Linked DNA regions of Xenopus tropicalis. The protein of the gene in region 2 purifies or fractionates together with the protein of the main gene of each other region. This does not show direct contact. Links are inferred from orthologs where the notes say so. Each region holds a gene or a part of one and is shown on either strand. Other genes may lie near its edges. The genes, in order: fgfr1op2, stk25 and cttnbp2nl.

Region 1 (7,790 bases), on a different chromosome or scaffold from region 2:
TCCCATTCCCATCAGCCCCTGCCCCAGTGAGCTTACAATCTAAGGTCCCTATCCCATTCCCATCAGTCCCTGCCCCAGTGAGCTTACAATCTAAGGTCCCTATCACATTCCCATCAGTCCCTGCCCCAGTGAGCTTACAATCTAAGGTCCCTATCCCATTCCCATCAGCCCCTTGCCCCAGTGAGCTTACAATCTAAGGTCCCTATCCCATTCCCATCAGCCCCTGCCCCAGTGAGCTTACAATCTAAGGCCCCTATACCATTCCCATCAGTCCCTGCCCCAGTGAGCTTACAATCTAAGGCCCCATACCATTCCCATCAGCCCCTGCCCCAGTGAGCTTACAATCTAAGGTCCCTATCCCATTCCCATCAGCCCCTGCCCCAGTGAGCTTACAATCTAAGGCCCCTATACCATTCCCATCAGCCCCTGCCCCAGTGAGCTTACAATCTAAGGTCCCTATCCCATTCCCATCAGTCCCTGCCCCAGTGAGCTTACAATCTAAGGTCCCTATCCCATTCCCATCAGTCCCTGCCCCAGTGAGCTTACAATCTAAGGTCCCTATCCCATTCCCATCAGTCCCTGCCCCAGTGAGCTTACAATCTAAGGTCCCCATCACATTCCCCTCAGTCCCAGTGAGCTTACAATTCAATGTAACCAGTTGTACCTATGGAGTGCAGTATATATTTCATATCCATGGTACTTACCCTTTGCCCCCTGGGCTGGGGTGATGCAGGGATGGGGGGAACACAATGGCCGTTACAGACGAGATGCAGGGAGTCTGGATGCACCTGGGGTGTCTCCTTTTCTCACCATTCTGACCTTACAGGGAGAGAGAAGACATGTTGGTGCCGGGGCTACACAAGCAGTAGGGCAGCTCCCACCTCTCATACTATTCAGACTCATGAACTGTAGAACCCCCCCCCCCCCCCACCTTCCATTTCCCTCAAATTCTCTTCCCAGTTCTACTCCCCAAATCCTGCCCCCCCTGCACTCCCGTCCCACAAGTCCTAGGGTGCCCCTGGGTACCCCTGTGTCCTTCCCTACTCACCTCCCGTCACAGGCCTGAGCAGCTCATCGCTACCCCATTAATCGTACGTTTTGCCCTTTCATGCTGTTTGGTCCCTGCCGCTTTCTGTTTTTAGTAGATCTTATCCAGGGGGGCGGGCACTAATCGCCTGGAGATACAGTGATTGGCTAATTTAATAGATGAGCAGGAAGATACTGTGAGCGAATATCCGCTACAAGAGGGCTTTGCGCTGTAGGGAGCCGGACCTCTAGCAGCGAAACGTCTGTGAAATACAGTTTTCCAGTCGGAATTATATTCAGGGCGGCCCTTTGCACCGGAAGTGACGTCCTTGACAGGTTCTCAGAAGGCATGCGCGTAGCGTCACCTGCGGTTTCAGCTGAGTTTGGCTTCACTGACGGGACCAGGGCGGAAACGGAAGGGCTGGGAGCTCTGGGACCGAATCTGCCGCTTGTGGGGTGACAGGGTAAGTACGGGCAATGGCTGGCACCCTCACTCACTGGCACCCTCACTCACTGGCACCCTCACTCACTCACTCACTCACCGGCACCCTCACTCCTACATACACTCACTGACTGACTGGCACCCTCACTCCTACATACACTCACTCACTGACTGGCACCCTCACTCTTACATACACTCACTCACTGACTGGCACCCTCCCTCTTACATACACTCACTGACTGACTGGCACCCTCACTCCTACACTCACTCACTGACTGACTGGCACCCTCCCTCTTACATACACTCACTCACTGACTGGCACCCTCACTCCTACATACACTCACTCACTGACTGGCACCCTCCCTCTTACATACACTCACTCACTGACTGGCACCCTCACTCCTACATACACTCACTCACTGACTGGCACCCTCCCTCTTACATACACTCACTCACTGACTGGCACCCTCACTCCTACATACACTCACTCACTGACTGGCACCCTCACTCCTACATACACTCACTGACTGACTGGCACCCTCACTCCTACATACACTCACTCACTGACTGGCACCCTCCCTCTTACATACACTCACTCACTGACTGGCACCCTCCCTCTTACATACACTCACTCACTGACTGGCACCCTCACTCCTACATACACTCACTCACTGACTGGCACCCTCCCTCTTACATACACTCACTGACTGACTGGCACCCTCACTCCTACATACACTCACTGACTGACTGGCACCCTCCCTCTTACATACACTCACTGACTGACTGGCACCCTCACTCCTACATACACTCACTGACTGACTGGCACCCTCACTCACTGACTGGCACCCTCCCTCTTACATACACTCACTCACTGACTGGCACCCTCCCTCTTACATACACTCACTGACTGACTGGCACCCTCACTCCTACATACACTCACTCACTGACTGGCACCCTCACTCCTACATACACTCACTGACTGACTGGCACCCTCACTCCTACATACACTCACTCACTGACTGGCACCCTCACTCCTACATACACTCACTGACTGACTGGCACCCTCACTCCTACATACACTCACTGACTGACTGGCACCCTCACTCCTACATACACTCACTGACTGACTGGCACCCTCACTCCTACATACACTCACTGACTGACTGGCACCCTCACTCCTACATACACTCACTCACTGACTGGCACCCTCACTCCTACATACACTCACTCACTGACTGGTACCCTCACTCCTACATACACTCACTCACTGACTGGCACCCTCACTCCTACATACACTCACTCACTGACTGGCACCCTCACTCCTACATACACTCACTCACTGACTGGCACCCTCACTCCTACATACACTCACTCACTGACTGGCACCCTCACTCCTACATACACTCACTGACTGACTGGCACCCTCACTCCTACATACACTCACTGACTGACTGGCACCCTCACTCCTACATACACTCACTCACTGACTGGCACCCTCACTCCTACATACACTCACTGACTGACTGGCACCCTCACTCCTACATACACTCACTGACTGACTGGCACCCTCACTCCTACATACACTCACTGACTGACTGGCACCCTCACTCACTCACTGGGCACCCTCACTCTTACATACACTCACTCACTGACTGGCACCCTCCCTCTTACATACACTCACTCACTGACTGGCACCCTCACTCTTACATACACTCACTCACTGACTGGCACCCTCACTCCTACATACACTCACTGACTGACTGGCACCCTCCCTCTTACATACACTCACTGACTGACTGGCACCCTCACTCCTACATACACTCACTCACTGACTGACTGGCACCCTCACTCCTACATACACTCACTGACTGACTGGCACCCTCACTCCTACATACACTCACTGACTGACTGGCACCCTCACTCCTACATACACTCACTGACTGACTGGCACCCTCACTCACTCACTGGCACCCTCACTCTTACATACACTCACTCACTGACTGGCACCCTCCCTCTTACATACACTCACTGACTGACTGGCACCCTCACTCTTACATACACTCACTCACTGACTGGCACCCTCACTCCTACATACACTCACTGACTGACTGGCACCCTCCCTCTTACATACACTCACTGACTGACTGGCACCCTCACTCCTACATACACTCACTGACTGACTGGCACCCTCCCTCTTACATACACTCACTCACTGACTGGCACCCTCACTCCTACATACACTCACTGACTGACTGGCACCCTCACTCACTCACTGGCACCCTCACTCTTACATACACTCACTCACTGACTGGCACCCTCCCTCTTACATACACTCACTCACTGACTGGCACCCTCACTCTTACATACACTCACTGACTGACTGGCACCCTCACTCCTACATACACTCACTGACTGACTGGCACCCTCACTCTTACATACACTCACTGACTGACTGGCACCCTCCCTCTTACATACACTCACTGACTGACTGGCACCCTCCCTCTTACATACACTCACTCACTGACTGGCACCCTCACTCCTACATACACTCACTCACTGACTGGCACCCTCCCTCTTACATACGCTCACTCACTGACTGGCACCCTCACTCCTACATACACTCACTGACTGACTGGCACCCTCACTCCTACATACACTCACTGACTGACTGGCACCCTCACTCTTACATACACTCACTCACTGACTGGCACCCTCACTCTTACATACACTCACTGACTGACTGGCACCCTCACTCTTACAAACACTCACTGACTGACTGGCACCCTCACTCCTACACTCACTGACTGACTGGCACCCTCACTCCTACATACACTCACTCACTGACTGGCACCCTCACTCCTACACTCACTCACTGACTGGCACCCTCACTCCTACACTCACTGACTGACTGGCACCCTCACTCCTACACTCACTGACTGACTGGCACCCTCACTCCTACACTCACTGACTGACTGGCACCCTCACTCCTACACTCACTGACTGACTGGCACCCTCACTCCTACACTCACTGACTGACCGGCACCCTCACTCCTACATACACTCACTGACTGGCACCCTCACTCCTACATACACTCACTCACTGACTGGCACCCTCACTCCTACATACACTCACTCACTGACTGGCACCCTCACTCCTACATACACTCACTGACTGACTGGCACCCTCACTCCTACACTCACTGACTGACTGGCACCCTCACTCCTACACTCACTGACTGACTGGTACCCTCACTCCTACACTCACTGACTGACTGGCACCCTCACTCCTACACTCACTGACTGACTGGCGCCCTCACTCCTACACTCACTGACTGACTGGCACCCTCACTCACACACTCCTGTTCTTCCCAGGAACCATGAGCTGTACCATAGAGAAGGTTCTGGCCGACGCTAAAGCCTTAGTGGAGCGACTGCGGGAACACGATGGGGCGGCAGAAGTGCTTATTGAGCAGACGACTACGCTGAATAAACGAGTGGAAGCCATGAAACAGGTAATGCCCAACCCACAGCCTTTATCTACTGGTGCCCAGCGGGCCCCTTGCTTTTAAATCTGCAGCCCTCCAGCTTGTGTAGACTACAACTCCCTGCATCCCCGTGGCTGTTGGGGAGTTGTCCCCGCTTAAAGCTGGAGGCTCAGGACAGAGGAAGGTGCTGAAATGTCAGCCTGCAATTGAGTATGAGTGTGAGTGTGACACGACCTGTTGCTGCATTTACAGTACCAAGAGGAGGTCCAGGAGCTGAATGAGATCGCGCGGCACCGCCCACGTTCTACTCTGGTCCTTGGCATCCAGCAAGAGAACCGGCAAATTCGCCAACTTCAGCAGGAAAACAAAGGTTGGATTCGCCAGCTTATCTGCCCATGTATGGGCTCCCCTGCCAGGCCTGCCTGGCCAATGTCTGGCCTAAAATTGGGCAGATCCTGATAGGGCAGGTTTGATTTTCCTGTCCAATGGCGCCTATGGGCTCGATGTATTTATATAGTGCATTATATATTGAATTAGCATGATATGTGGCATATAGGGAGAAGATTCACCTTTTAAGTTAACTTTTAGTATGATGTAGAGAGTTTGCAATTGGTCTTAATTTTTTATTATTTGTAGTTTTATAGTTATTTCCTTTTCAGTTTAGGAGCTCTGCAGTTTGGAATTTCAGCAGCTATTTGGTTGCTAGGGTCCGAGTTACCTTAGCAACCAGGGAGTAGTTTGGATGGGAGACAGGTATATGAATAGGGGAGGGGCTGAATAGAAAGATAAGGAATAAAAAGTAACAATAACAATAAATCTGGAGCCTCACAGAGCAATAGGGTTTGGCTCCCGGGGTCAGTGACCCCCTTTTGAAAGCTGCAAAGAGTCAGAAGAAGAAGGCAAATCATTCAAAAACTATAAGAAATAAATAATGAAGACCAATTGAAAAGTTGCTTAGAGTAGGTCATTCTATAACATACTTAAAGGTGAGGGGGCTAGTGCAGAGATGTAACAAAGCTGATCCCTGTGTCTCACAGAGTTACGCACCTCCCTAAAGGAGCACCAGTCGGCCCTGGAACTCATCATGAGTAAGTACCGGGAGCAGATGTTCCGCCTGCTGATGGCCAGCAAAAAGGACGACCCCGGCATTATTATGAAGCTGAAAGAGCAACATTCCAAGGTACATTCTCTCCCTGAGGTAGGTGGGAAAGGGTTAAACTTAGGGCAAACCCCACTGACCCCCAATAAACTGACTTATTAGCACATTAATCAGTGCAACTATGTATATGAACTATTTATATTGTGTGCACAAGGGGCGTGGCCAAAACAAGGGGCGTGGCTAAAATATTGGTACTACACGCTTGTGTTCATGGTGGGGGGCATTTAAATGAACTTGTGCGGGGCCCCAAGGTTTCTGATGCCGTAAGTGCAGGTAACTACCAAAGCTTTGTAATTCAGGGGGGGCCAACCCCCAATTTAAAGTGCAGAATTATCAAATGGGAAAATTAACGACCGTCCCCCTGATTGTCCCCCCCGTGTAGGAGCTTCAGGCCCACATAGAGAAAATCACCGAAATGACTGCGGTAATGAAACGGGCCATTGAAATCGACGAGCAGCAGGGTAACCAAGAGCACGACCGCATCGTTAAACTGGAGGTAGGTACCTGCCGGCTGTGAGACTGCTCAGTCAGTAGAAGGCTCGGCAAAGAGACAACGCCATTGGTTACAGAGCCAGGGGGTTGGGCTTAATGCACCACTAACACCGAATCCTTTGCAAAAGATTTGGCCGAATACTGCACTGAATCCTAATCCTAACTTGCATAAGCAAGGGTTAAAGGGGCGGTAGCTTTTAGTACGTTATAGAATGGCCAATTCCAAGCAACTTTTCAATTGGTCTTCATTATTTATTTCTTATAGTTTGTACATTATTTGCCTTCCTCTTCTCTTTGCAGCTTTCAAATGGGGGTCACTGACCCCGGCAGCCAAACCCTATTGCTCTGTGAGGCTCCAGTTTTATTGTTATTGTTACTTTTTATTCCTTATCTTTCTATTCAGCCCCTCCCCTATTCATATACCAGTTTCTCATCCCTGGTTGCCAAGGTAATTTGGACCCTAGCAACAGGATAACTGACCCCGGCAGCCAAAACCTATTGCTCTGTGAGGCTCCAGTTTTATTGTTATTGTTACTTTTTATTCCTTATCTTTCTATTCAGCCCCTCCCCTATTCATATATTATCCTCTCATTCTAACTGCTTCCTGGTCCCTAAGGTAATTAGGACCCTAGCAACCAGCTAGCTGCCAAAACTCCAAACTGCAGAGCTTCTAAACAAAAACTGAAATAATTAAAAAACTACATATAATAAAAAATGAAGACCAATTGCAAATGATCTCAGAATATCACTCTCTAGATCAGGCTAAACTCAAAGGGGAACATCCCCTTTAAGGAAGTAAAAGGTGAGGGATATGTAAGACGGTTGATGCTGATTGGCTGAAATGAGCTTTTCTTTACCCGCAGCAGGAAAACAAGTGGCTGAGGAAAACCCTACAGATCACCCGAGCATCTTTCCTTAATCTGCACAAAGAAGACGCGGCGGAAAGCTCCTCCCACTCTGCGTCGTCGGTCCCCAACACCGACCTGAGCTTAAGGAAAAGCTGAGCGCCCCCCCCCCCGGGCCCCCCAGTTTCTACCTGTTGTACGGGCGGAACCAGCCGGTGCCATTGGATCACTGGGTGTTTGAGCAGCAGCACCCGGAATGTAAATAGCGGCTACATTTTATGTCTGTGTGTGCGCCGGATCAGCGCCGTTTCCTATTGGTCCTCCGGCGACTCCAGAAGGTG
Region 2 (7,809 bases):
TCAGGCCCAGGCCCCCTTCCTAGATCTAGACTCATATTGATTTAGGACTTGCAGTCCAATAGGGTGTTTTCTGTGCAGGCTGGACTGGCAATCTGTGAATTCTGGCAAATGCCAGAGGGGCTGCTGCAAGATGCCACAGACTGTTTATTGGGCTGGCAAGGGGCTTTTTGGACCTTTGTGTACTTGAAATGCCAGGGTTTATTTTGAATCCCAGTCTGTTCCTGTTTCTGTGTACTTCCCCCAAGGTTTTTTCATTTTCAGCCTAAAGAGATACCCTGTTGCAGAGATTCTACCCTCTCCAGTTGCTATAATAGCAGCTCTTGGCTAATGCCAAATAAGGCTCTTACCTTTAATGTCTCGATGGATCTTTCTCTCCGAATGCAAATAATCAAGTCCTTTTAAGATTTCTCGTAGTATAGTGGCAATGTACGCCTCTTCCAGAGGGCCTGGTTTCAGCTAAGTTAACAGAACATATTGATGGGTGATGCAAGAATTTAGGACCAGTGCAAATTAGCAGAGTGAGTATCTACATCAAAAATGCTGCACACATCAGCCCACAGCAGAAGTGTGAATGTGAATTTAGAGTTGCCAAGTGTCTAGTATTTAACAGGCCTAGTTACACAAAGGAAGACAAGAAATCCTGTGTTTCTTTTGATATATATCATAACATATCTGTGAGTGCTTATGGTTGTATTTACATAGACCTTTCTGATAAAGCTTACTTAGTTTTTACCTTTCCTTCTCCTATTCTGATACAATTTGCAACTGTCCATTCTTTTTTTATTATATGTGGTTATTTAATTATTTAGCTTTTTAGTGAAAAAAAAAAAAATCAAAACAATGCAACTGTAGCCTCACAGAGCAATAGTTTTTTTGCTGCTGGGGTCAGTGACCCCCATTTGAAAGCTGAAAATAGGCAGTAGAAGGCAGCAAATAATTAAAAAAAAAACTATAAAAAAGAAAATATGAAGACCAACTGACAAGTTGCTGGATGGAACCTGGATAATGCAAAAGACAGTTAAGACATATTTCCTTACCAGGTCCAGAGCAGAGCCTCCTCCCAAATACTCCATTATTATCCATAGCTTTGATCCCTGAGGATAGAGGAGAATCTGTCAGATGCGGGCAGACATTCTAGAGCTGATATTGCAAAACAGGTAACGCTAAGAAGATAATAACTGCAGACATGCACATGTATTGTGTTTAAAAGTGTTTATCACCATATAGAGATCTATAAATCACAACCTTTATTTAAAAGCAAATGCAGTTACCTTCAGGTAGGAACCATAATAGCGAGTGATATAAGGACTGTCACACTGGCTCAGCACTGTAATTTCCTGTTGTATGTCCTCAATTTCATCCTCTGCCTCTTCCAGGTCAATAATTTTGATGGCTACAACTTCTTTACTGCGATTCTCTATGCCCTTATACACCTCTCCAAAGGAGCCCTTCCCAATGCGCTCCAGCTTGGTGAAAAGACGCTCAGGATCCATCCTAGAGCTCTGGAAATGCAGAGAGTTTACAATAAGGATAACAACTAATGGATAATCTACTGAAAGGTCCTAAGGATGCCAACCCATGGGACAGCCTGATTAGCAATTTATACTAGATGAACCACAAGCACACTAAAGCTTTGGGATATATAGAGCAGAAATCTACCACATCCCCTTCTATTGTGCATATTGGATACCATCCCTTTATGACCTTTATAAAGAGAGGCTTTATTGAGAACTTAGATAAAATATGGAGACTGTGGATAGATGAACACTGGCCTAACTATGGTTATAAGAAATAAAACTTAATAGACAATCCCAAGGGGGCAAGGGTAAATTCAAAGGATGACCCCCTGACCCTGTGTATAGATAAACATTGGCCTAACTATGGTTATAAGAAATAAAACTTAATAGACAATCCCAAGGGGGCAAGGGTAACTTCCAAGGGTGCCCCCAGCCCTCTGTGCTGATGATTTACTACTTTTCCTATTTGATCCCCACTTAATGTAATAAAAAATACCTTGGCATCATATGCTCCAATACACTCTAATTTACTGAAGACGATATTGGTCAGGTTGTCAACTACCTTGTCTAAGCTGCCTTTTTCTTTGCAGTTTAGAATCAACTTATATAAGATGATTTACTTACCTATATTGTTATAAAAACGACAAAATTCCCCCATATGGATCCCTGAGAAGCTATTCAGGTATGTCAATTCTACTGTGCTCCCATTTCTATGGGCTAATAAGTTCCCACACATGGCCTGGACCTCTCTTATGTCTCCAACTGACAAAGGAGGCCTTGCTCTCCCTTATTTAGGCTACTATTTCCTAGCCAGCCAAATTCATCATATACATGGTTGGTTCCATATAGATGAGGTGGACCCCAGCCTCTTGCTCCTGGGATTAAATTTGGGTTCCCGAGGCAGTAAAAAGTTTGCCATATAGAAGGATAGCCAACTACAATGACTGTCCCTCAACAGTCTCTGCCCCTTTGAGGTTAGCATGTACACTTACTGGACGCACACCTCTTGTACCCTCCCCCTTTCTACCACTTTGAATGAACTGTAACCTACCCCACCCTAGAGCCCTTCAGGACTGCTCCTACTGGCTGCTCTTGGGCCTTAGGTTTCTTAGGGATGTTCTAAAAATTCCCCACATACCCCACATTACTGCAGCTCAAAACAAAGTGCAAGAAGCCAGATTTGCATTTCTGTAGGTATCTCCAAATTTACCATGCATTCAGGGCACAGTATGTTAACCCCCACCTTCCCCCCAGTAAAACTGACCCCCTACACAACCTGGAGAATAAGAAACTGACATCAAGGCTTTATCAAGTACTCATAGGTACAGCCTTCCCTAGTTTTGGTTATGTTTTCATTAATTTCTCTGAGACCAAGCTTCCGAGATGCCAGCAGCCAGAGGCATCCTTTCTACACTTGTTGTAAAACTGTCCCTCGAAACAGAGTTTTTGAGGGGAGGTGATCTGGTACTTGAGTTGAGAATATGGCATTCCCATGTTTACACTCACCTGAGATCTGCCTGTTAGGGCTGGTTGCAGATGTATTGCCCCTGAACAGAACTCGTTCTCTCATCAGAGCAGTCTTGTGCTATGCCAAGAAACTAGTAGTAATGCATCTGATCGAAAATGATGCCCAAAATATTTTAATTACGAACCTCCAAATAAACAGGGGTTCATAATTAAAATAATTGTGGGGGAAGTGATTTGAAGGATGTGTAAAATGTTGTTAGAAAAGTAACATGTGGTATGGGATTACAGAGATGTACAATTTGAAGTACAGAGGTAGAATATAAGGAAACTGCTGCAGGGGGTTATTATTATTTGTAACCATTCAAACCTTTTCTTCACTTTTATTTGGTCTTTGCGTAATAGGCTCCTGCCACACGGGACAGATTAATGCAGGATAAGATTATTTCTATACATGACTGGAGTTACCTCTGTAGGTTGAGGTGTTTTTTAAAAGGATAACAACAAATGTTTTAGGCGCTTCTTATGGAGCTGCAAATCTACAGACACATGCCATTCACACACACTACAGTCAGCTTTATCAGAACACAGTTAACCTACCTGTATGTTTTTGAGTTGTGGGAAACTGGGGTACCAGGAGGAAACCCATGCAAACACAGGGAGAACAGGCAGCAATTCTATGTCCACTGCACCACCATGCTGCCCACATTTTGTGCTAGTAGTTCAAACATTGTGGGTAATTCTGGATGGCCATATTTATATAGGCCCTCGAAGGCAACCCATGCCAGTCACCTAGATTGTGGTCAAATCTAGAGGAGCAGCTGGTGGGGGGGGGGGGGGGGGGGCACATTTCTGGGTTATCAGCATGCACCAATTGCCAAAGAGTATGAGTATGCATTGCCTGTGGGGGGGCTAGGTAAACAGTAGGGTAACAAGGTCCTGCACTAGGGGTATCATTACCCCTATTTCCAGCCCTGGGAGAAGACTTCCAAAACCTGTACTACAGATACAGCCCTGCTTATTTACCATATTGTTACTATTATATAGCCCTTAGTGTAGTCCCCCATAGTATGCAACAAACTTGCTATTTCCTGTGGATATTTCCAAGTGCCAGTCAGATATAGCAGCAGTTTCCACTAAGGCTGACAGGGAATGGTAAGGGATTGGAAGGGTTAAACTGCTCACACAGAGTGTGTTCCTTCTGAACTACTTACAGTTCTGTGGTACTTTGCTTGTAGATCCCTGCTAGCACTGCAGCTGCTGACACCATGTCTTGTCCCTCGTTAGCACTGCTTACTGACACAGGAGACTCCCTGGAGCATGTGGGTGAGGAGGAGGCAGGGCACCGGCGCACACACAAACAATACTGTAAAGAAAAAGCATTGACTAAGTGTTAATACAGCAACTTCAAACAGCAGCCTGCAAGATGGAGCCCTGCTGCTCTACATACACAGCATAGGAACGGGAAGTACAGAACATGTGACCAGCAGCTGTCGCTCTCGGATTTAAAGGGACAGCACTATATTTTGCACAAGTGGTCGTTCTGCCTATTACAAGACAGCTTTATTAACAATCTCTGAGGAGAATTGTGATACAGTTGCGGTGACTTCTTTGACTGGGCACTATTATATAAAGGCATATCTGTGACACAGATCCACAAACATGTCATTTTTTCATCACCCTCCTTTGCCCTGGCCAGTCACCAGGTGCTTTTTGGGGGCTGTTGCCCCCCCCCCCCCTTACCCACTCTGGGCTTGTTTTTTTTTTACTTTAGAGCCGGTCAATATGGGGCAGAAGTGCTAGTACAGAGACTGTGCTATTGCACTATTTAAAAACAGAGATTGTTTTTGCCATCGCTGGTAATTGGCCACTCACTGCCGCCTGTGCCAAGCTTGTCACTAAGAGCAGCCCTGTCAGTCACTGTCAGTAACAGCCCAATCATCTAACCCCTGTAACCAGCACCTGAATTCATTCTGAACCCCTGCAATTGAAAAAGCCTAAAATGTGCTCAATGGCCATGCAATTATTTCTATTAACTGTGGCAGTGAATGTTTCTCCTGAGCCACAAGTGCACCTGCTGGATCCAGGTGTTTAACCATTCAAGTCACTGAAGTGGCAATGGAGAACATTATTGTGCACATCTGGACATTGAGCTGGACATTGCATGGCTGGAAAACACTGTGGGGGGGATGTCACCTCATGTGCCACTAAAATAAAATGAGGCCATAACTATCATTCCATTTCATTGCCTACTGTTCAACATTTAAGTGAGAGGGAGTGAATTTTTTGGCCACGCCTACTTTCCCAGACTTCTCCTACTGGTGGGGCCAGCGCCTTTATCAGAGGCATGCATGTATATAGAGAACAGCACAGTAGCACTGTAATTACATTTTATACATTTAATGATTCTATTAAACCAATGTGTAGGAGAGACAGGCAGTTATTTGATTGAATATCACTATGTCTAAACTAAAGTGACACATTTATTTTTCATTCGGGACACCAGAGGATTCATGCACACAATCATACAGTGTCCGACTGTCCCACCAGTAGGGTTGCCACCTGTTTGAACCTACCGCTTGGTTTCTCAAATTAGGAAAACCAGGCAGGGCCCAGTAACATTGACGAGGCAACTGGCCAATCGCAGACCCCAAGGCCTGCCTCTTCCCCACCCCATGATGTTGGGGCATTGGGCTGCCCATGCTCACTTACCTGTCTGTCTGGTTCACCTAGTGCTCACTCTTACTTTAAGCTAAACCTCCCCTACTGGTGCCAGGTCTGACTTACCCTCCTACAGATGATGTTATCTCTGCCACGCCCTCCAGTCAAGACAACTGGACCCAGGTGACAACCCCTTTTTTATACTTTATACTTTTCTGCCTAGACTGACCCCTGGTGGCTGGTGGTATGAAGTACACTTACCCTATTTTTTATTAAACCTATATTACTCTGCTGCCACCTGGTGGCCAACTTAACACATAACATTTTTGTATTACCATTTAACACACTATCACACTTATTAACCAAACATATGTTCCATTCAAATGCACTCAAATGCATCATTTTTCCACCTTCTTACAAATGCTTCAATGCTGCCTGTGCTAAATGGAAAGAAACTGTAATTAAAAATCTGAGCTGTCAATCCTATAGTGCCTGACCGGCCGCTATGCCTTAGGCATAGGCAATATAGGATTGACAGCTCAGATTTTTAAATTCATTTATAACAGATATGGATGATTTAATTAAAAAAATAATTTTGGTTTTCATGTTTTTTAATTATTATTTTTATGTGTGGCTGACAGGTCCCCTTTAAGAGTTTTACAACTTTACTCTGTTTATGACACTCAGGATAGAATAGTTAATGCTAATTTAAATGCCAATTTTTGCCATTAGTGCATACTGACCAAATAATATATATTATATATAATACAAAAGACAGTTCCCACCAACGCCATCAGTGATTGGTTAAGTTGGTTTATCACAGGCTGAAATGGTGTGTTTATCCGCACACTGAGAATAAGCCCCTATGTGGCATTAGCTAAACATCAATTTAGAAATCAATATCCTTTGAGCCCTAAGAAATCATCCTCTGGATGGACAGCTTCTGCAATAACACAAATAGCATGATATACCCTATAATATAAGCCTCTAAAATAATATGTAAGTACTTAAACTTGACCCTAAATGAGGCTGTTTCTCAAACAGGATATTAGTTTGCTTAAGGGCTCTGGTACACGGGGAGATTAGTCGCCCGCGGCAAAACTCCCTGCTCGCGGGCGACTAATCTCCCCGAGTTGCCTTCCCCCTGCCATCCCACCGGCGAACATGTAAGTCGCCGGCGGGATGGCAGACGCGGCGGGGCGATTTCGGGAAATCGCAGAAAAAGCCTCACGAGTCTTTTTCGGCGATTTGCGCAGAATCGCGCCGCCGCGTCTGCCATCCCGCCGGCGACTTACATGTTCGCCGGTGGGATGGCAGGGGGAAGGCAACTCGGGGAGATTAGTCGCCCGCGAGCAGGGAGTTTTGCCGCGGGCGTCTAATCTCCCCGTGTACCAGAGCCCTAAAGGAACAGTAACACCAAAAAATTTATATATTTCAAAGAAATTAAACTATAATGTACTGCTGCCCTGCACTGGTAAAAGTTTTGTTTTGTGTTTGCTTCATAAACATTAGTAAAGTTTATATAAACCCTGCTGTGTAACCATGGGGGCAGCCATTAAAAAGAAGAAAAGGCACAGGTTATATAGCAGCTAACAGATAAACCCTATAGAATACAATGGTGTCTTATCTGTTATCTGCTATGTAACCTGTGCCTTTTCTCCTTTTTTCCTTGAATGGCTGCCCCCATGGCTACACAGCAGCTTATTTATATAAACTATAGTAGTGTTCCTGAAGCAATCACCCCAGTTTTACCAGTGCAGGACCACAGTACATTATAGTTCAATTACTTTAAAACACTTTCATATTTTGGTGTTACTGTTCCTTTAAGTTAGTTGGTAAAAGTTCTGGCTACTTGCCTGTGTCTATTCATTTCAGAATTAGTTGCAAACAGTACTGTTTAGTCAACTAAAGAGTTTAGCATAGGGCAGCATTGGACTGGAAGGTCCCTGGCCACCAGGGCTGCCACCTCAGGGGCCCCTGCACCCCCATGGGTCCTCTGCCTCCAGGGTCGGATGGGCCGCCAGGAAGGTGGCGGGGGCAACAGACAGGTGGCGGGGGCCCCTGCAGGGGGTTAGGGAGGACGACGGTGGAGGCCCCTGTGAGGGAGTGCATGTGACTTGGCCGGCAGGGGTGCGGGGTCCACGGGGCGGTAGTCCCAGTGGGCCCT
Region 3 (6,457 bases), on a different chromosome or scaffold from region 2:
TAAGTTGATCAGTGGGGTTTCTAAATTAACTTTTTTTGTTTTGCAGCTCTGAAATTTAAAAATTATAAAATTCCAACTACTTAAATGTGTACAAACACTGCCTATATGTTATTTTAGCCATTCCAATGGTAATTGCTTCTAAGACCAGCTACTAGAGAAATTCTAGGTGTGAGAGGTTAAATGTTTGCTTTTATAAACTTCAATGATACTTAGGATGGTAACCAGATGTCTTAACAGAAAGCTAAACATTTCAAAACAAACAAACCAAAAAAATACAGGCCAGTTGCAAATTCTGCAAAGTCTGATAAACATAATAATTCATACAAAAAGTTCATGCTAACTTGAACAGCCCCTTTAAATTACTAACCGTATTTCATCAATGGCCTGTAGCACTGAACAAAAAAACATTTATCAAGAGACCTTTACAGGGTGTTTTACCAGTACAGCTCTATTTTTAATTTATAATTCATAATTTCAGAATGCATCAATCCTCTACAAAAACAAAGCTGCAATCATTTTACCATTGCAAATAAAAGAAAACGTAAGAGTTTAAACTATAGACATCAGGCTGTATTAATCAAACGGAATGCACAGTTCTATTTTCTCTTTCAATGTCCCAGTAGGAATCAGTAACATATTTGTCCGTTACAAGCTGGCCTGAAAACTGTATCCAGATAGCTGTCACATGATTATTTGGTCAGATGTTTTACATAAGTAATGGTCATATACATGGGCTGGGATTGTTGTTTCTACATGCAACTGATGTTGCAACAGACCTCCATTATGTGATCCGCTAGATTCTTAAATAATTTGAAGGCGTAATCTTTCATCCAAATACACTGAATAAGGCCTTTAGAATCACCTTAGTAATTTAAGATAAAAACCAATGAAACAATTCCACATCACACCTTTTTATAAAGAAGCCACATTTGCTTTAATAAATACTGCTAAAATTTAAATGTTGAATCTTGAGCCCCTTGCCTTTAAAATAATGCTTACAACAGAAAACAGCCATGGTATTTTTTTTAATACATATCTGCACTTCCAGGTTGTAGATATCCAACTGGTTTCACAGCTCAGAGTTGCTTACATGATTGTTAACACATTTAAAGGCACTTTTTGGGAAAGAATAACACTAGAGAGATTACGACAGTGGTCAAGCTGAATGGCAGTGCCAATATGTTACAAATTTTATAATGATGGCATATATCAGGAATCTTGGATGTGTCAGCCCTGCCTGAACATGTACACATAGCAAAAATGCTGGCATCTCTTATACATATCCAATATATGGGTGTATGCCAACTAGGACATTCATTGGAGAGGTGTAAATGGTGAATAAATATGCAGTTTCTAATTGTCAGGGCTCCAGTGCATCTTTTCACTTCACACCAAGAACAAGACCTACGATGGACCCAGTATCAGGGCTATGGCACACAGCATTGTTATGCTGGTACTAGTACTATATGCTTCCCATTTACATGGAGTACTTTTGAATACTAACTGAGGGTGGTGAGTGACACCCATTCAAGTGAAATCACAGCAGTTGGAGGCAAATAACATTTTCATGGTTTTTGGAGAACTTTTAGGAAATGCATGTTTAGGTTGCAATTTAGGTTGTAATTAAAATTCTGCCCTGTATGACATGTAGAGCAAAACTGGAAAATGTACTCCAGAGAACAAAAGAGAGACTACTCAGTCCAGCCTCGTGGTTCTCTGATTCTTCCTGACTATATTTTTGTAGCTATGATTTACTGCTTTTTACACTTTGCAAATCATCTCTTTAGGTATATAATTTATGAGGACAAATCAGTGAATTGCTGACCTACCAATTGTACAGCAACTGCACATACATACAATTTAGTAAATATAATTGTTAAAAAAATAATTAAGCATTCATATTTAATTATTAACTCAGTGCATTAGTGTGCTTATTTTACTGCAGATTTAATATGCTTTACTACATACAGTGATCACCTGTACGTTAAAGAAACAAAATGCCAGGATTGCAGGCATTTACAATAAATTATTTTGTTTGTATTATGCCATGTTTGCTTTTTGACTCTTTACTTATTTATATTACAAAGTCTTTTTAATACATCTTCTTCTGACACCACCAATAATATTTTAGCTCATTATAAAGGTTTCTTGAAATATCTTTCTGAAGATATTACTGTGCTTTGTGCCCTCAGCAGTTAAACCTTCACTTTGTGGTTCAGAAATTTTATATATATATATATATATATATATATATATATATATATATATATATATATATATATATATATATATATATATATATATATATATATAAATAAAATATATATAATATATATATATATATATATATATATATACTGTATACACACACACACACACACATATATATATATATATATATATATATATATGGTAGGTAAACAGCAGCACCCAGTGGCCACTGTTAATATTCTTTCACTTACCAGTAAAAGAAGCATGAAAAATGTTTGACTGAAAATGGCAATAATTTTAAAGCAGGCTGCTCAACTTTAAGTAAGATCAGCCCATTTTTGTTCACAGCTAGTATGTATTGTTAGAAACATCAACCCTTTTTAAACCTGCTTGCCCAACTGGAAATAGTAGGTAAAAATAGTCAAAGGCTAAAATATACATAAGGAGACATTTGGCAAGCTGTTTTTTTTTTTATCGGACAACTACATAAATTTGGTTTGCCCCAAGCCAACATGACCACTGGATAGTTGTCTCACACGTCTTCACTGCTGCTATAGTCTCTGTACATACAGTGTTAAAACGCTGGCAGGATTCAGTAATAGGGATGTTAATTAAAAGTTAAAATACATCTAATACAACATATTTTTTCTCTCTCTACATATATATATATATATATATATATATATATAATTCAGTATATATCGCAAAACAGGATAAAAGACTAATTTACTGGCAAAGCTGGTATGGATTCCCAAGCCAATGTTTCCTTACTCCTTAATTGTAACTAACAGACATTACTGCAGGCAATTAATCACAGATATCCGGAAATCATGATCAAAAGCTGCTGGTATCGATAACTTTATAATTGCCAGACATTACTTGGTTTTCTTAATTATCAGCAACCACATTTTTCAGACACTCTTGTCCACTTTTAAGACTGCATTTTATGCCCTATTCTATCAGAAAGTCCCAGGAATTTGTTTCCTAATTAAAAAGAATAATACTTCCACAAAGGAAAGAAGGAAATAGGAAATATGGGCTATAGAAAATGTTTGTTGACTATTAAAATAAATAACATACTTTTGATCATCTTAATTGTATAGCACATTCAGACTCGAATAGTTTAGTCTGACAGTGTTATTAAGTCATGTAACAATGTCCTCACCCCCCAAACAGGGTAAAACTAGCTACCAGATGGAAGCATTATTTCAATTTCATTTCCATTTGTAATGACGCCATTATTGGAGCAGTGGGTATTTGATCCATCTGCTGAGGATGTCAGAGCAGATGTTTGGTTTGGTGATTTGGATGAAGGTATGGGAGAAGCTGGAGACTGAGCTAACCCTGGTTTCTTTGGAGGAATTGGTGGGGGGTTTCCTCGTTCAACCCGAGATATGGTGGGTGATTTGATTCCAGGCGATACAGGACTGAGAGGGCTAGAAACTTTTAGAGGGTTTGGGGAATGGCTTCCATCACTTTTTTGGTTGGAGGCAGCATTTGCAAGAGTTCTATAATCTGTACCAAAAGGTGAGCTGTTGGGAGGTACAGGTTTGCTGGAGGTCTGTTGGCTAGTGAAGCGGGATAACACCTGAGTCACAGTATTTCGTGCAAGTTGCTTGGCTGCTGAATTATCTGCCAAGGTTGGGGATAGGTCCCTAGAAGGGGGGCTCTGTAGACCAGTAACATGTTGATCGTGCTCAGCCTGAGACTGGAACTTGTGACGGGCAGCATGGAAGCGCTGGTTGATACCAACTTGGTAGGAAGATTGATAACCAGGACTGTTGGCTGTTGCTCCAATCAGACGACGTGAAAGCACTGGAGAAGAACATGGAGAAGAAGTTAAGGAAGAAGCTGCTGTACTGATGGGTGAGGAAGAAGCACCACTTGAGGGAAGATATCCTGTCATATGCAGAGGAGACTCTACTCTGACTGGAGAGTTCCCACTGTCAGAAAGGCTATCTGATACATTGCACTTTTCTTTCTGGTTGTCTCCCACATTTAATTTTAAAATGTGCTCATTGCTGTGTGCTGATGTATTACAGTGTCCATTTATTTTGGAATATGGCTGAGGAATCTTAGATGGAGCAGTAAATGAGACATTGGATTTTGCAGAATTATCTGTGTAACTTTTTTCATGTTGGAAGGGATCGGTTTGGCATGACACAGATACTACGTCAGCATTCTCTGTTGATACACAAATAGACACCAGCTCACTTGTTACCTTGCATGAAGGCACTGAAACTTGGTGGGTGGTGTTTAGCTCTTTCAATGTCTTTTTTAAGGACTCCAATTCTTCTTTCAAAGTTTTTGTGCGATTTTCTTCCCTATTTAACTTGGCTTTCAGTTGCTCTCTCTCAATATCAAACTCTGAAAGTTGCTTTTCCACCTGTGCTTCTATCTGCAAGCCTCGTTTCTTTTCAAGAGATAGCTCTTCTTCTAGCTGACTTACTCTGCTCCTAACCTTTTCCAGCTTTAGGTTAACATCATCTACTCTCTGTCCTTCTTCCACTGCCCTGTTGTTGGCTTTTGTACACTCTTTCATCAGCACAGATGACAGCTGCTTGTGGCGGGCTTTCTCTTCCTCCAGCTGACTGGAAAGTCGTTTCTGTTCTTTTTCTAATTTCTTAACTTGGGACTTCTCAAATTCCAGCTGAAAATATAGAGGCATAAAAATACATGTATAAATGTATGAATATAATATATGTGGGAATATAACAGTTTTCTAAAGAACAACTAAGGCTACATATGATTAGGCTAGGAATACTATACTTTTTCATTGTATTAGCATATATACGTACAGCATCAAACACTGCATTCATCCAATCTTTCTCTAGGTTGGATAATTCTGATTTCCACATTTACCTACTAAAATTACCATGATTAATTTTAGGGTTGGAATCAAAAAAAGCCTAACTGATTAAATCTCATTGAAGTTGTTGCCTATTTCTAATTTCACCTATTTAAATTTACAATAGTCAATAAAACACAGCTGAAGTCAGCTGAAGTAACTGACATGCTTTCGGCAGACCTGTCATTAATGGTTATTATTCAAGCTGTTCATGCGTACTTTAGTCATTATTTATACTGCTCCTTTGTCATTTCCATGTTTGCTTAAAAGGAAGCTATTTTACTGCTGAAGTGGGTTAAACAAAAGTAGTATTATGTTATATAATAATAGTTGAACTTGTAAGATCCATGGGCAGGGACCTCCTTAGTAGATTCTGGGACTTGAAGTCTCTCTGCTTCCTAGAGAATATGTGAACTGGCCACCATGTAAAGCAGAGGTCATGGACTTTTAAGTTCCAAAATCCATCACTTTAAGTTGAAACAAGGGAAGGGTGGAGTGGAATTGATACTCTGGGATGCTGTTTGCTGTTGTATTGATTATACAAAGCTCTATGCAAATTTACAAAACCTGTAGCAATGTGTGTGTATAGTTGACATGGATAATCAATATGAATCCCAACCCCTATGATGCTTAGGTTACATATGTACTTTAACATTTCTAAACTTTTAATATAAATCGGGGGGAATTCACAAAAATGGATATAGCCTTTTTTTGGAGCAAGAGTGATGGTAAAACTGGTGTAAAACACTTTCTCCATATTCACAAACAGAAATCCGCCTATATTATGACTCTTTTTAGTTTTAGGTGAAAGAAAGACAGTTTAAAGGCACTTTTGGGAATTTGTCTTTTAAACGACGTTTATATTACATTTTAACAACATTTTTTCCAACATTTTCACAATGGAGTAAAGCGCTGTGTAACTCAGATCACTTCTAAGCTCTTCTGTTTTGCTTTATTTCACCCAGTCTCCATTTCACACCTCTGGTAGAGGCATCATTGGGGAGGGGGGGTCACCAGCATATTAATGGTGGTTACCAGGCTATTGTCAGAGGACAAGTTTGTGTCTAACCCTAGAGCAATAGGTGCAACAAGCCCATTAACATTTTTATAAACAAGTAAAACACTGACTAAACAAAAAGTGCAATTTATACAATGTTACATATACAAAGTTTTTACCTCACATTTGCATTATTATCCTACTTTTAGCTCAATGAATCAAGTCAATAATAACATTATTGACTTGAATGAGTCAATAATAACATTTTGAGCGAATATATTGTACACATTTTTTATTTAAAGGAAAAGTAAAGCCGCCCTGACAAATCTTTAGTTTTAGCAGCAGTGTCCCCTCTTTAATCACTTCACTGACATATGCCACAACTTATCTGTGCCCCCATA

What was found.
Region 1: the proteins of stk25 (region 2) and fgfr1op2 purify together in Homo sapiens (affinity purification with mass spectrometry; 5 studies listed by BioGRID and IntAct, with this or other methods). This does not show direct contact. The link is inferred for Xenopus tropicalis from reciprocal best matches to the Homo sapiens genes STK25 and FGFR1OP2.
Region 3: the proteins of stk25 (region 2) and cttnbp2nl purify together in Homo sapiens (affinity purification with mass spectrometry; 6 studies listed by BioGRID and IntAct, counting the BioPlex papers as one, with this or other methods). This does not show direct contact. The link is inferred for Xenopus tropicalis from reciprocal best matches to the Homo sapiens genes STK25 and CTTNBP2NL.

What each region holds. Positions count from the first base shown.
Region 1 is NC_030679.2:2,582,798-2,590,587, forward strand, and holds the start of fgfr1op2 (FGFR1 oncogene partner 2 homolog), read left to right. Parts: upstream 1-1,386; 5' UTR 1,387-1,490; intron 1,491-4,840; 5' UTR 4,841-4,845; coding exon 4,846-4,980; intron 4,981-5,205; coding exon 5,206-5,323; intron 5,324-5,990; coding exon 5,991-6,133; intron 6,134-6,494; coding exon 6,495-6,608; intron 6,609-7,467; coding exon 7,468-7,608; 3' UTR 7,609-7,790. UniProt on the Homo sapiens protein: May be involved in wound healing pathway.
Region 2 is NC_030681.2:125,795,056-125,802,864, reverse strand, and holds the start of stk25 (serine/threonine-protein kinase 25), read right to left. Parts: upstream 4,423-7,809; 5' UTR 4,196-4,422; intron 1,503-4,195; 5' UTR 1,494-1,502; coding exon 1,272-1,493; intron 1,095-1,271; coding exon 1,038-1,094; intron 457-1,037; coding exon 348-456; intron 1-347. UniProt on the Homo sapiens protein: Oxidant stress-activated serine/threonine kinase that may play a role in the response to environmental stress.
Region 3 is NC_030678.2:60,505,646-60,512,102, reverse strand, and holds the end of cttnbp2nl (CTTNBP2 N-terminal-like protein), read right to left. Parts: intron 4,862-6,457; coding exon 3,395-4,861; 3' UTR 2,636-3,394; downstream 1-2,635. UniProt on the Homo sapiens protein: Regulates lamellipodial actin dynamics in a CTTN-dependent manner. Associates with core striatin-interacting phosphatase and kinase (STRIPAK) complex to form CTTNBP2NL-STRIPAK complexes.